4 linked regions of the Rattus norvegicus genome follow. The protein of the gene in region 2 purifies or fractionates together with the protein of the main gene of each other region. This does not show direct contact. Links are inferred from orthologs where the notes say so. Each region holds a gene or a part of one and is shown on either strand. Other genes may lie near its edges.

Region 1 (3,517 bases), on a different chromosome or scaffold from region 2:
AAGTCCTGTCCACTCACAAGTCCGATCATACTGCATCTTAAAGGTAGCAAATGGACCCTGCAAAACACAAACATAGCAGTTCCCACACTCCAGACACCACACTTCCCTTCTCAGAACTCCTTCTCTTATTGTCTACCGTACCATCTAGATTCTTCCTGAGTGGGCAGCAAAGGGTGAATCACTGTGACTCTGTTAGCCGCCATCCTCCTCTACCACAGGAAGGCAGTCTCTTTAGACAGGTCTCACTATGTGTATGTAGCACTGGCTGGCCTGGAACTCATGGAGATCCACCTGTAACTGCCCTGGAGTGCTGGGATTAAAGGTGTGTACCACCATGTCTGGCCCAAAGGGTCCTTAAATGTCCAAGTTGCCCTTTCTGTAACCTCAAGATAGCTCTAGGATTCAAAGATTTACCTTATCAAAAGAACGAAGGTCATAAAGTTTGACCATTTCTGAGTTGACACCTGCAGCAAAAATTAACCCTTCTGGATCAAAGGAACAAACGGGTTTGCCCTGTAGATGCATGAGGCCCTAAGAGAGAAGAGGACAGAGAGTTAATAAATGAAGGAGCCCACTACTCAATCATTGACTTTTTCCACTGAAAACTAAGGAAGGAATAGGAACTGTACCCAGGATACCTACAAAAGATTAAAAAGTAAACAAATAAAACTCTGACTAAAATGTAAAAGGTCACCACAGGATGGGTGCATCCCACCAACCTTATCTACACCATTACAGAGTCAGAGAGAGACAAAGTCCTGGAGGCTAAAGGCTCTAGGCAACATTTTCAAGCACTAAGCCACATTACAATGCAGTCTGCTCTGGAGTGGGCTATCTGCTCATCCAGCAGAGCCAACTAGTAAAAGGTTTTGCTGCCACATAACAAGACTCTGGGATCCCAAAATGGAACCACTGTTGTCTCCCTTAACGGAGAGGGAGAGCTGATAATGCTTTCCACAGAAAATGCTCAAAAATGTAACTGTGAGGTACCATTACCTGGCAGTTAGGAGACCGGAGATCCCAGAGTCGAATGGTCTTATCAAGAGACCCAGAAATGAAAGTGTCATCCACAGGTGACATGGACAAGGCCACCACCCTGCAATGTATCAAGATAAATAGGAGTTGAAGCAAAATATGAGCAAAAATTGGATGTGAGCCCTAAACCATTCTGCTTGTCTACATATATACCTGTCTTCCCAGGGCTAACATCTTAGGAAGCATACACAGACTTATCTAGAGCAACCGAGAGCAGCTAATACAATGGAGAAAAAAAAAAAAAATCAACACAGAGCATTTGTGAAAAGAAAAAAAGGATGGTTCAGTGGAAGATGGTTTAACAAGGTAGTGTTAAAAACAAAGTATGTGACTCTACCAAGAGTCAAAGCACAGTGAGCTACTAATGCACACCCGCTAATGGCTGTCATAAGAGGCGGCTCGGTGCTGGGGAAGAGAAGGGGAGAGTCAGAACTCCTTATATACCACTGAGGAAATAAATTGTACAGATGCTCTACAATCCTCTCAGGATGGGTGTGGTGGTGCTTGGGAGGTAGAGGCAGGTGGATGGATCTGAGTTCAGTGCCAGCCTCATCTACATAGTGAGTTCCAAGTCCAGTCCCCTGACCCCACCACAGAAAAGTCGAAGCAACCAACCTGAACAACAAACCTTACTTTTTCTGGAAAGATGGTCATGTGACTTAAGAAACTCTACACCTAGGTCTAAGGACTTGAGCAAAGTGAAAATGTCTACACAAAAATGTTCACATTTTACAGTAGCATTATAAACGGGAATAACCCAAATGTGCACTGACTGACAAACCACCAAGACGTGGGCTACAAAAACACGGCACAACATTATTTGAGAATAAAGAGAAACCAAGTGCTAATTCATATGACTACAAGGATGAACTTCAAAAACATCATGTACATGAAAGAGACCAAACACAAAAGGCCACATGTTGATGCCATTTATATGGAAATCTAGAGACAGCGCTTAGATGAATGGCCCCTAATGGGTACAGGGTTTCTCTTAGGGGTGATAAAAACATTCTGGAATTATAGTAGTGCTGATTTCCTACTACACATCTACATACATAGATCACTAAGTGTTTCTTATTTTATTTGTTTTGAGATAGGGTTTCATGTAGCCCATCCTGCTACATTTACACAGAGGGAGCAGAATGCTTATAAACATGCAGTTTTGTCACAGTATTTAGCTCTAAAAGTTCAGAGAAGGTCTCAGTTGATACAAAAGGCTGATAGCACAGGGAATGTAACCTGTGGTCAGTAGGAAACTTACCTGCCAGGTCACAAGGTGCCAACACTAGAAGAAAGCAAATGACCAGTGGCCTATCCTTTGGCATTACACAGTAACCAACACTTCCTGTCTTCTGCAACGCAGAAATACCCCACCTGCTTACAAGTGCAATTTCTTTACTGAATTACTTTGAAGGGGAAGGAGTTTGAGACAGGGTGTTAATATGTATCCCAGGGTGACCTTCAGTTTACTATGTATCCAAAGTTCTCTCTCTAAACAATCTTTCTACCTCATCCTCCAGAGCACCAGGACACAGGAATATACTACCTGGCTCAGCTCAAGTACACTTTTTGATGTTTGCTTGCTTTTTGAGACAGCTGCATAGCCCTGGTCATCCTGGAGCTTGTTATGCACACTAGATTGGCTTCCAATTCACAGAGCCCCTGCCTCCTGGGTCCTGGGATTAAAAGTGTGTGTCACCCCACGCAGTAGAAGGGCCACTTCTAACAGGCAGCGCTCAGCTATCCCTCCTGTCATCCTTTAGGCATGGCATGGCCCTCTCGAAGTCAGAACAGTTGGGAGCTGCTATCGAGGAACCCTCAGGACCCTGCTCCTTCAGACATATAAGGAATTAACAATTACTTGGGAGACAAGGGAGATGCCATTTCAGTTGCCCGTGCTTCTGTAAGGACCACAATTACACTTAGTGACTCACAAAGTGAAGACTTCGGTGGAATCATTTCTTTGTTCTATTGCCGAAGCCCAAAGGTGAACAGGTAGATAGCAAAAGGACACAATACCTGTCAGGGCACCGCACACACAGCTCTGTATCATCTGTATCATACATGTGTTTAGTCTCAGCACTTAGGAGGCAGAGACAGGCAGATCTCTCTCTGTAAGTCAACCTGGTCTACACTGTAAGTTCTAGGACGGCCAAGGACCCTGTCTCAAAAGGGGGTAGGGGGAAGCTGTAGAGATGGCTCAGTGATTAATGACCTCTTCTGGTGTGCACATATATATGGAGACTAAACAATATAAATATAAATAATCATATACATAAATAAAACCAAACAATAATAAAATCCCTTCATATATGGGACATTGTTCATGTACAGTCCAACACAAATGTTGGCCTCCACAGAGGAAGGCCTCATAAATGCAAATGGTTCTTTTGTTAAGAGCTATCTTGGATTTGGTATTGCTAAATACCAAGTCTGATTTTTACAGCATTAAGTTTTCACCTAATAACTTTAGCCCACATGT
Region 2 (4,310 bases):
CAGACTTCTTCTCTCGACGCTTCACATGCTTCACTTTTACTGCCCGCTTCCTCAGTGCAGGATCCAGGAACGGGGACTCTTCTGCGTCACTCATCCATGGCTGCAAGCAGGGCATGCGCTGACCCACCTGATGACTCGTTACCACACCTGCTGCTCATTTCCCAAGCAGCCTGTTCGCCCTCTGGCCCCCTCCCCATTCTACGACTTCACCTTTTCCCCTTCCTCCCCACCACAGGATGACCATGTTACTCACTACGTGATCATCAAAGGCCCCAGCACAGAAATCCTGGTACAGATCAGGGTCCAGTGCTAGGTCCTCATCTGAGAGTGGCTCAGGTGTTGCTGTAGCCTCTGGTGGCTCCTTAACCACTGATGACAACACTGTCCCCTCATCTTCACGGATACGCCCCAGCTTCTGGGATTGCTGTGGCTGCTGTTGAGTGGGTGGTGGCCGGCGGGGCCTTGGCAGGGCCTCTGAGGGTGTCACCGGCGAGAGCTGCGGGGCAGAATCTCAGGACTGGCCCTGACCGCCCTGCCCGCAGCCCTGCCCCGCCCTGGGGGGCTGGACTCACCGAGGAAGGGAAGTACTTGTACGATTCCTGTGCGCAGGAGGAAGGCCTAGGTCAGCCCCAGGAAAATAAAGGTCTTCCCTGTCCTAACCCCATTTACTTACCCTGGCCTTGCCTGGTCTAACAAATGCAGTTTTCCCCTCCCCTCACCACAGATATACTCCATCCTACCCCATGTGTCCTGGCATGCTTGACAACCTAAAGCTATCATCCCCCCCACCCTACCCCCAGCTTTCCCCTGAACTTGCTAGGCCCCTCCCACATGTCTGAACATAACCAAGCTCCACCCCACCTGTACTTTCTTATTTGTAGCTCAAGCAGCCCTACTTGAGCCTCCCAGCCATGCTCTCCTATCTGATCTTGCCCAGCTCTGCCCATGCTCACCCGTGCCCGCAGCTGACACTGGCGAAGCCGGCACTTCTGCCGGATCTTGTTGGGGCCCCCAAACTTCTTCATGTCACGACAGAAGTCACAGTGGCCACAGTCCTCAGTGCGTCGGCATGCCTCACACTCACCACACATCCGAGCTGACCGTTTGATTTGCTGCTGCTGCTGCTGCTGCTGCTGTTGCTGGTGATGCTAGGAGACAGTATCCAGGGTAGAGATGAGGATATAGATGAGGCCCAAAGCAGAACTTTCACCCACCCCGAGCACTGTGGCTACTCACCTGGCTAGGTGTGGCCACCAAGGGCTGTGGAGAAGATTTGTGGGGCGAAGCAGAGCCCCGAGCAAGCATGGCCCCAACCCCTGTCCCTGACCCTGCCCGGCGCTGCAGTTCTGGATCTGAAGCAGGCCTCTTGCGCCCTCCTCCCTCATCCCGGGGCTCACTGCCGTCCCGCTCACTGCCATCCCTCTCCCGGCACTTTTTGTGGCGGTAACGAATCTCCAGCTTCGGGTCCTTCTCTGTGAGGCAAAGAGTGGAGCCAAGGTGGGTTTGGAGGAGAGGTTTGAATGGTCCCAGAACCTCTTTCTCTTTTCCTGCCCCACCTACTTGTCCAGCTCACGCTATGGGAGAGCTGCCCCTTCCTTTGGGTTCTTCCACAATTGCTCACATTGGAGCTGGCCTTCCAATTCACCACAGACCAACGATCACTCTGGCCACACAGGACACCATTATCACCCAGGATCCCTCCCATTACAGCTCCTTCATCTCTTGGAGTCCACCTCCTTCACTGCCCATGCACAAGCCTCACCTCGGCACTCGCGACAGTACCATTCCCGGATGGCCTTGGCCATCTTCTCGGTGATGCGGATGCAGTCCCCATGAAACCACTCGTTGCAGTTGTCACATCCACTGCATAGAATAGAGCAAGTGGTGGAGATGTGAGGGGTGGGTCCGCTTCACCGGGTTCCCGCCCCTGCCAGGCATCAGCCCACCTGCTTCTCCCAAACTCACATCATGAAGCAATTGATGTCCGGTTTGCGACAGATGCAGTAGATGGGGGCGTTCTCCCCATTCTCAGACTTGCTGTCCTCCCCAGCATCTGGAGGTTCCAGGTCTGAGCCATCTCCTTCCTGTGAGACCCACCCCCATGATGGCTCCTTAATTCCCTCTTCACAGCTCCACCGTGGATAGCCACAAATTCCAACTGTGTCTTCGGACTTCCCGTTAGCCTTTCCGTTATAGTTCACCCAGACCCTCCTCACCTAGTCCTGGGCCTCATTACTTTGTGTTCTACTTCCCCATCACTCAGACCTCCCATCACACTGTCAAGCATCCTGTCACTCTGACTGCTCATCGCATACACTCAACCAAACTGTCCCATTCAAGAGTTCTACACGGAGAGCACTTAAATTTATTCTGCTGTCGTCCCATCCCGACTTCCCACAAGTGTCTATAACTTAGCTCGTGGACCCCACCCCCAATGCCGGTTCTCCAGAGCCTGTGCAAATACATTCATGGCCAAGTCCTTATCTCTCTGACGAAGGTACTTCGCGTGAAGGTTTCCCACAAAACTGCCATCTGGAGTCCCCACTGAACTTCCACTACGGACCCCCTACAACGGTTCATCAAAGAACTCACAGATGGTTCACCTCAAACCTCATCACACCCCTTCACTCACCGGCCCAGAGACTGGGCACACAGCTCGCCAGGAACCCCGTGCGCCTGCCAATAGGCAGCGGTTGCCAACCCCTCCGACCTCTGCCTCTGAACCCCGATCCGACCAGGTACTCACCATATCTCCGCTCACAGAGCACCCTCTCTGGACCCCGCGCAGCAACCCGCGAAGCTGAACAAGCCCCTCGGCCGCGGTAGCAAAGGCACCCGCAACTACTTCCGCCACTGGTCCCGCCTCCGCGGTCCCGCACTCTCACTCCCCACGCCTGGCGCGACCGCTTAGCGGCAAACAAATAGGTCGCCCATCTAGAGCCTCGAATGTCTCCTTGTCGCCGCCATCTTGACCATCCAGTCCGTAAGACAGCGGAGACCATACGTTCCGGGAAGTATGGCTGCGCCTACAGTTCGGGTCGTCCGAGCGCGCCGCCACCTTGTCAGTCAAGTCCGTACGGTGGCCGCCAGAGGGCAATATGGCCGCATTTGCTTCGACGTTGGGACGCAGATGTCGTCAGCTGATTAGCGTCATCAGGCGGGCTCCGTGCGTTCCTAGGCAACAAACAGTAGCTTCCGGATCACGGCTTCCGAAGGGCGTGGCCAACTTGATATTTGACTCCGTACAGTGTCTGCTGCTGCCACAGACTGGTTAATCCTGTTACTGCCTACATGTGTCTCATTCATTCCTGCATCCAATCATTTACCCTTCGATGCTTATCAATGGGAATGCCAGGCCTCCGGAGAGGGAAATAAATGTCGTGCCAGTACCTGGCCCAGTTCTTGCTCCACTTTTATCTGCCTCCCAAATCATGTTTTTTAGCTAGGCCTAGTTTTTTGTTTTGCTTTGTTTTTTTGTTTTGTTTTGGGTTTTTTTTTTGTTTGTTTTTGTTTTTTTGGGACAGAGTCTCTCTAGTCCTAGCTGTGCTTCAACTCACTGTGTACATCAGGCCGTCCTCAAACTCACAGAAATCCACCTGCCTCTCCCTCTCAGGTAGTGGGATTAAAGTCATGAGTGATCACTTCTGACTGAAAAAAAAGTCTTAACTTCTTGAGCATGGTGGCATATGCTGGTAATACCAGCACTGATGGGGCTGGGGTTAAAGGATGCAAATTAACAAGGCTTGCCTAGAGTTGAAGTCCAGCTTGCACAATTTTGAAACCCTATTGGGAGTTTAGGGGCATAGAGAAGGAGACCAATAAATAAATAAATAAATAAATAAATAAATAAATAAATAAATGAAATGAGTGTTAGAAAAGACATTCAGAGCCAGTATTATCACGATATTAATTACATAGCCCTGAAGTGAAAACAGTGCCAAGTACAGTAATTCCCAAGTAAAAGTACGAAGGGCCTTAGTTCGACTCCTAGTATTACAAAAACAAATAATGAAAAGAGTTCTTAGGGCCAGTGAAACAGCTTAGCCAGGAAAGACCCTTGTAGCCCAGCCTGGCAACCTGAGTTCTATTCCCAGAACTTAGACAGGAGGATGGGAGGTGAGGACTGACAACCACAAATGGTTTTTGACTTCCACACTTAAATCAACTGACACCGAAAATAAAAAACATCATTCAGGCCTCGGAACCAACAGGAACAAAGACCTAGTCTGCGTGACAAAACGGAATCAAAGACTAAGTCACTGGTTCCAGGATGGGTCTGGGAAAGTCCCTAAACATACTAACCTTGCTTT
Region 3 (3,517 bases), on a different chromosome or scaffold from region 2:
ACTGGATTTACAGATAGCTTTGGCCTGCCATGTGGTTGCTGGCAAATGAACATGGGTCCTCTACAAGAGTAGCCAGTGCTTATAACTGGCTGAGACGTCTCTAACACACTTGTGTTGTGTGTGCATAGAGTTGTGTAGCTAAGGCTGGCCTTGATGTTCCTGGCAGGGGTGGTGGGGGCACCTCCCATGTGCTGGATGACAGATGTGTTTCACATCTGGCTCAGGGACTGCCAGCAGCTGGAGGAGTGTATTCAGGGCTGCGGATACACCTCAGCTAGAAGAGTGCTTGTCTAGCAAGCATGAGGACTTAGGTTTCATTCTGCTAAACTGTGTGTGGTCAGGCACACTTGGGATCCTAACACCCCGGAGGAAACAGGACAATTCTCACCTTAAAATCATTCTCTATGACAAAGGGAATTTGAGGTAAGCCTGGGTTAGTGACTGTCTTTGTTTAGTTTTGTTTGTTGTTTTTGTTTGTTCGTTTGTTTGAGTTAGGGTTTCTCTATGTAGTCTAGGCTGTCCTGGAACTTGCTTTGTAGACCAGGCTGGCCTCGAACCCACAGAGATTCCACTTTCTTCTCCATCCTGAGTACCAGAATTAAATGCGTGCCTTCGGTGAGTATTTTACTTAAACATAAACCAGATTTAGCTTTAATTAAAATGAGGCTGTCTACAGTATGTATGAGAGTCAGGTGGATCTCTGAGTTGGAAGCTAACCTGGGCTAAGTAGCAAGTAACAGCCAGTCAGGACAACACAGTGAAATCTTGTCTTAAAAACCACAACAGGGGCCAGGGAGACGGCTCAGTGCTTAAGGGTACTGACTGCTCTTTCAGAGGTCTCTGAGTTCAATTCCCAGCACCCACATGGTGGCTCACGACCATCTGTAATGGGATCTGGTGCCCTCTTCTGGAACGTCTGAAGAGAGTGACAGTGTACTCACATCAAAAATAAAACCTTTAAAAGAAAAAAAAAAAAAAACCAAAAAACAAAAAACCCCACAACAGCCTGCGGGTGGTGGCACACCCAGATCTTTAATCCCAGTGCATGGGTGACAGAGGCAGGAGGCTCTCTATGAGTTCAAAGCCAGAGAGGCCAGCCTGGTCTACAGAATGATCTCCAAGGCGGTCAAGGCCAGACAGAGAAACCCTGTCTTGAAAAACGAAAACAAAACAAAACAAGGAACAGTAACAACAAAATAACAGAAATCAAACTACAGGACGCGCCCCCACAGCTCTTCAGTGTCCCCCACAGAGGCCACTCGAGGCTCTGACACACTGGATTGAAAGGATGGACAAGAACTGCACGAAATGAACCATCTTCAGAGCTCTGGCACTTCAAGTTACCGACGACATAGCTTTAGTTAGCTGTGACTGTTACTGGTGGGGGAGGGAGGATGTGAGGGGGGGTGAGAACAGGACAAAAGAACGCGTGGCAGGCTGTTCTCTCTGGTTTTATTGCCCCCATAATATGAGTCCTGACAGGCCTCACCTACACTGCAGAGAACAAGTTCCTAGTCACAAGGCTCCCTAGGGTGCAGTGCAGGGAGGGACAGCCAAACTGTCAAGTCCGCTGCTCTCCTCTGTGGCTGGGGTGAGGGGCAGCGAGGACGAGAAGCAAGGGCAGCGAGGACAAGAAGCAAGGGCATCTACTGAGGCATTTCTTTCAATTATTTTCACCGTGATTTGCTTTTTTGAGACAGGGTCTCACTATGTAACCTTGGCTAGCCTCAAACTCGTGGAGATCCTGTAGCCTTTGCCTCCCCCACCTCCCATCCCACCCCTCAGGGCTGGGGTTAAAGGTGTGTAACACTGCTCTCGGCTTAATTGAGAGGATGATTTAAAAGCACTAAAGGCCGGCTGGAGGGATGGCTCAGTGGTTAAGAGCACCTGACTGCTCTTCCACAGGTCCTGAGTTCAAATCCCAGCAACCACATGGTATCTGTAATGAGACCTGGTGCCCTCTTCTGGTGTGTCTGAAGACTGCTACAGTGTGCTTTTTATATAATAAATAAACCTTAAAACAACAACAACAAAAAAACCATTAAAGCCAGGCAAGTGCCTGTCCTTGCAGCTTCTACAGCTGAGACGGGAGCAGAGGCTGAGACTCCATCCCTTAAGAAAAAAGGACTCGGGGCTGGAGAGATGGCTCAGCAGTTAAGAGCACCCGACTACTCTTCCAGAGGTCCTGAGTTCAATTCCCAGCAACCACATGGTGGCTCACAACCATCTGTAAAGAGATCCGATGCCCTCTTCTGGTGTATCTGAAGACAGCTACAGTGTACTTATATATAATAAATGATTAAATCTTTAAAAAAAAAAAAAGAAAAAAGAAAAAAAGGAGTCAAGAAAATGTCTCTCCGTGTGTAGAGGGGGTCAGTTAGGAATAGGTTGTGAAGGTCTAGATAAACAAGCCTCCGAGAAGAAGAGAAAGCGGCAGTGCCTACAAGGTTAGATGTGCCACATGTATCAGAAGAGAAAAGGAAGGAGAGTCAGGTCGCAGAGGCCTTTCTTGGCTGTGGGACCACATGGACTGACAGCCTGGTCAGGAGGGCACTGAGACCTGAAACTCAGCCTGGACAGTGTCTGATGTGCACTCTCCTCTTATTTAAAGGGGAAGGGCCACATGCAGCCAGTGCCAGGGGTCCAACCTGCACAGTTAGTGCCTGCCTGCCTCTGCGCCCCTCTCTCTCTCTCTTGCTCTCTCTCTCTCAAGACAGGGTTTCTCTGTGTCACCCTCGCTGACCCAAAACTCAGAGGCCCACCTGCCTCTCCCTCCCAAGCACTGGGATTAAAGCTGTGCACCACTGACACCCCAATTATCAGCACTTTTTAAGGGGTGTCTCAGAGGTGAGCACACATCCAGTGACACGTCTTCAGAAAGTTGTTACCAGCCCTCTCGTCACCCTAAGAGGCTCCCTGAGCATCCGCCTACATACCTTGGCCATCCGCTCCTTTTTGTCCCACCATTCGTCAAAGGCCCGGAAGGCCACCACCTCCACCATCTTGCGGTTGAGATCCCGCTTCATAATGGCCTTCAGTTCCTTGAGCACTACTAGCAGGACCCCATCCACTGTGGCCTTGTGCGGATCCTCCTGACGCGGTATGTAGCCTGGTGGTGGCACAGAGGGGTCAAACTTGGGCAGGGGCGGCCAGTGCTGTCCACGTCCTGGGCCACTGTTGCTCAGGGAGAACGGGCTCCGGTAGGGGGGCAAGTTGACAAACTGTAGCCCAGCAGAAGCGGCAGCGGCGGCAGCGGCCATGAAGGGTGGGTAGGGGCAAGTACCCTGGCCTGTCATGAGCCGGCTTAACATCTGTGTTTGCATCTGGAAGGACATGGGCATGCCGCCCCACTGCCCACCCAGCACATGGCTCATGTCCACCTGCATCACAGGAAACAGTCCTGGCGGGAAGGGCGGCAGTGGTGGAAGGATGGGTGGGGGTGGGACACCCGGGGGCGCTGGCAAGGGTGGCGGGGGGACTGTCACTGCAGGATGGGCTGGTGGTGGTGGTGGTGGTG
Region 4 (3,517 bases), on a different chromosome or scaffold from region 2:
AAGTTCTGAAGACTTACCCATTTATGCTTGATATTTATGTTTCTATGACTTTTCTCTCAAATAACAGTACTCTTTTGTGGTTGTAGCATCACCTTTTTTCAGATAATGCCTTTTCTTCTTCAAATTAATAGCATTCTAATATAATAATTAAGTTTTCCTATCTGTGCCTTCTATCAGCTGGTAGCTTCCAAAACAGAGTAGTCATACCCATACCTAGGCACACACAGTTAATATCTGCTTCCTTTTTTTTTCTTTTCTTTTTTTTTTTAAGATTTGTGTGTATGTTTTGCCTGTGTGTATGTGTATGCCTGCAGAGGTTAGAAGGTGTTAAATTTCCTGAAAAGTGGACTTAGTGATGATTGTATGCTATCATGTGGTTGCTGGGAACAACCTTAGTCAGCCTGGGTCATCTGTGAGAACAGCACGTGCTCTTAACCACTGAACCATACTTTTGCATATTCTATTGATTTGTAAAAACATCAGAAGAACAAACTAAAACTTTGTTGGTGGGGGCGACTTTGAGTACTAGGGTTTACAACCCAAGGCCTCCCTCATTTGCAGAGCCGGATCAATACCTCAAGGATGTACTCTCAGCTATTTTCTCACATACATTCTTTCAGAGTGTCTTTGCTTTTACCTGATAATATTCGGGCAATTGTGGTTTTAGGCTAAAGAAAAAGAAGAGAGACTTTTAAGAAGACGAATCAATAGAGAAAAACTTGAAGAAAAACGAAAACAGAAAGCAGAAAAGACAAAGTCTTCCAAAGCGAAGAGCCAAGGTATAGCAGATATTACTGTTATTTGAGAGTATCTTATACACACCATCATTTTCTAGTTAGTCTCATATTCCTTGTGGCATATGCACATAAAAAGGTGATATGTTCCTAAGTGTGGAAGAATTTATTCTGCAGTAATGGTGGAATGGATTTCAGATAGAAGCAGATGAGCATTTCCAATGATGATAATGCAGCTCACATCATCTTTGCTTTTTCCTTTTACTTTTGTTATTTCCTCTGATGCTGGGGATTGAAATCAAGGCCACAGACTTGCTAAACACAAGCTCTGCCCCAGACTGTATTGCAGCCCTTATGTTGACTTTTATCTGGCACAGTAAATATAACAAAATTGGCGTCTGTTTTTCCTAGCAGAAACGGAGACTCCTTCGAAGCTATTTTGTGTTTTATACTGATTATAAAGCTGTAATGAAAAGTAAATAGAGCACTGTTACAGAACTGTCTTCTGAAATAAAGCTTCTTTATTTACTTTCTAGGCAAAAGTAGTGTGGACCTAGAAGACTCGTCAACTAAGACTTTGGAACCTAAAGCCCCAAGAATTAAAGAAGTCCTTAAAGAACGGAAAGTTTTAGAGAAGAAAGTAGCTTTAAGCAAAAGAAGAAGAAAAGATTCAAGGTGCATTTTTACCTGTTATATTCTGAGTGTCACATTAATGGTGTGTTTGCAGAAGAACAGCTTTGAAAGTGGGCATAGGCTGTCTTAAAAAGTAGCTGGGCATAGTGTGGAATGCATATAATCCCAATACTGGGGAGGCAGGAGCAGTGGGATCTCTGTGAATTTGAGGCCATCCTGATCTACACAGAGAGTAAGGACAGCCAGGGCTATAGACAGAGACCCTATCTCCCCATTTAAAAAAAAAAAGTCCTTTTCACTTCTTGATGGATTGTGAGTTTCTGTGTTAACCATCATTTTTTGCACAAAGAGACATCTCTGTTGAGGTCTGAGAACTGTACTAATCTATAGGTGTAGAAATAACCCTAGAACTCTGGCCTTGAGCTCACTCTGGTCCTTCTGCCATGGCCTCTCCAGTGCTGGAATTAAAGGTGTGTAGCTTTTTTAGAGAGAGGAATTTATAGGGCAGTTTGATTTTATATCTATTCAGCAAAATAAAAGTAGTATGTCCACCTCTGGGTCCCATGAACTCTCGAATCATGCATTTTAAATGTCATAAGTATTTAATATTAGTATGACTAATATGAAAATTAGTCAAATTTACAGTACCGGGCACATGTCTCTTGTGGATCAGGCCTTAAATCCAACCAGAACATGATTAGTGACACCCATAATGTTCATGCCACTGTTGCACCTATGAGCATGTCTTACCATGCTGGTGGTTGTTGGAGCTCACAGGGTTCACAGCTCTGTGGACTGTTGATGACTCCCTCCATCCCCAGGAGCCTGCTTAATACCTTCTGGTACTTTGAAGTTTACCCAGCAGGGAAGAAGCTTTGAGAATAGTACTAGCTTGATTTCTCCATGTCCTGTGGTTGCAACCAAGATCAGTGATAATAGCTAGTACTGTTTTGGGAATCTCTGAGACTCCTTCCCAACCAACAACTTGAGAAGAAGCATCTGACACTTGGGTAGTTATTTGGCAACCTAGGGCTTCTAGGGGAAGCATTTTCCTCTGAATATCTGGGGATAGAACTCAGGCCACCTGTCTTGGCAGGAAGCAGCTTTATTTAATGGGCCATCTTGCTGACCTTGACATTCGTTTATTATTATTATTATTATTATTATTATTATTATTATTATTATTATTAATCATTCCATTTGTTTACATCTGAAATGATATCCCATATTCTTAATAGAAAAGCAGGAACTGTTGCACCCATGGGAATGATTTGTACTACAACAGACGAATAAAAATTAAAAAAAAAAAAAAAAAACAAAAACAAAAACCAATCTGTCAGAAAAAAAAAGAAAAGAAAGTCTCATGTTGACTGTAGGTGTTACTGTGTGTTTATAAAGGCCTTGCCTTGCAGTTTATTGTTTTACCGTTTTTCATTGTGTTACTACCTATAGCATTTTAAAGTACATTTTTAATCTATGAAAATATGACAGACGCTTTAGATTGTGTCCTAGAAAGTGTATATACATAGACATCAATTCTCCCCTGTTGCAGGGAGTTGACTTTATGGGCTCCTGGAAGTAATTGTAGAAGCATCACGTCTGGGCCAGTGTAACCACTTCTAACAGAGGTTGCCTCTGTTCACTAGTCTTCCCAGCACCTATTTTAACATCACGCCATGATTTCCTCTTCACTGAAAGTTGGTTTTTTTTTTTTAAGTACTGTATTTTCATTGCTTCTATTAGTTATTGAAGAATTACAGAGAAACTCTTGAAAATAGCTATGATGTAATGTGAACCATAGTCTACAATTTTATTATTCCATTCCAATTCCTTTCTTAAACTCACTAATTTTATTTTATGTGTATGTGTATTTGTCTACATGCATTTATGTGTATCACGTATGTGCAGAAACCTGTGGAGACCGGGAGATGGTGTTGAATACTCTTGAACTGGAGTTACAAACGGTTGTGAGCTGTCATGTGGGTGCTAGGACCTGAACCCAGGTCTTCTAGAAGAGTAGTGGATGCTTTTAGTGGTTAAGCTCTCTGTCCAGCCCATCATTACAATTATGTAAATTAGTCATAAACTTGAAGATAAGTGGATTTATAGAACTCAGAGAGAGGGGAGCCAGTTCTCAGGTTTATTGAACC

Evidence for each region. Proteins that work in one complex are often made in the same cells at the same time.
Region 1: the proteins of Cxxc1 (region 2) and Wdr82 purify together in Homo sapiens (affinity purification with western blotting; 7 studies listed by BioGRID and IntAct, with this or other methods). This does not show direct contact. The link is inferred for Rattus norvegicus from reciprocal best matches to the Homo sapiens genes CXXC1 and WDR82.
Region 3: the proteins of Cxxc1 (region 2) and Setd1b purify together in Homo sapiens (affinity purification with mass spectrometry; 11 studies listed by BioGRID and IntAct, counting the BioPlex papers as one, with this or other methods). This does not show direct contact. The link is inferred for Rattus norvegicus from reciprocal best matches to the Homo sapiens genes CXXC1 and SETD1B.
Region 4: the proteins of Cxxc1 (region 2) and Bod1l1 purify together in Homo sapiens (affinity purification with mass spectrometry; 5 studies listed by BioGRID and IntAct, counting the BioPlex papers as one, with this or other methods). This does not show direct contact. The link is inferred for Rattus norvegicus from reciprocal best matches to the Homo sapiens genes CXXC1 and BOD1L1.

What each region holds. Positions count from the first base shown.
Region 1 is NC_086026.1:115,703,292-115,706,808, reverse strand, and holds part of Wdr82 (WD repeat-containing protein 82), read right to left. Parts: intron 1,097-3,517; coding exon 997-1,096; intron 532-996; coding exon 415-531; intron 58-414; coding exon 1-57. UniProt on the Homo sapiens protein: Regulatory component of the SET1/COMPASS complex implicated in the tethering of this complex to transcriptional start sites of active genes.
Region 2 is NC_086036.1:70,087,218-70,091,527, reverse strand, and holds the start of Cxxc1 (CXXC-type zinc finger protein 1), read right to left. Parts: upstream 2,803-4,310; 5' UTR 2,750-2,802; coding exon 2,747-2,749; intron 2,085-2,746; coding exon 1,966-2,084; intron 1,864-1,965; coding exon 1,763-1,863; intron 1,473-1,762; coding exon 1,237-1,472; intron 1,149-1,236; coding exon 954-1,148; intron 600-953; coding exon 573-599; intron 497-572; coding exon 254-496; intron 101-253; coding exon 1-100. UniProt on the Homo sapiens protein: Transcriptional activator that exhibits a unique DNA binding specificity for CpG unmethylated motifs with a preference for CpGG.
Region 3 is NC_086030.1:39,068,888-39,072,404, forward strand, and holds part of Setd1b (histone-lysine N-methyltransferase SETD1B), read right to left. Parts: coding exon 2,937-3,517; intron 1-2,936. UniProt on the Homo sapiens protein: Histone methyltransferase that catalyzes methyl group transfer from S-adenosyl-L-methionine to the epsilon-amino group of 'Lys-4' of histone H3 (H3K4) via a non-processive mechanism.
Region 4 is NC_086032.1:73,337,875-73,341,391, forward strand, and holds part of Bod1l1 (biorientation of chromosomes in cell division protein 1-like 1), read left to right. Parts: intron 1-667; coding exon 668-779; intron 780-1,270; coding exon 1,271-1,409; intron 1,410-3,517. UniProt on the Homo sapiens protein: Component of the fork protection machinery required to protect stalled/damaged replication forks from uncontrolled DNA2-dependent resection.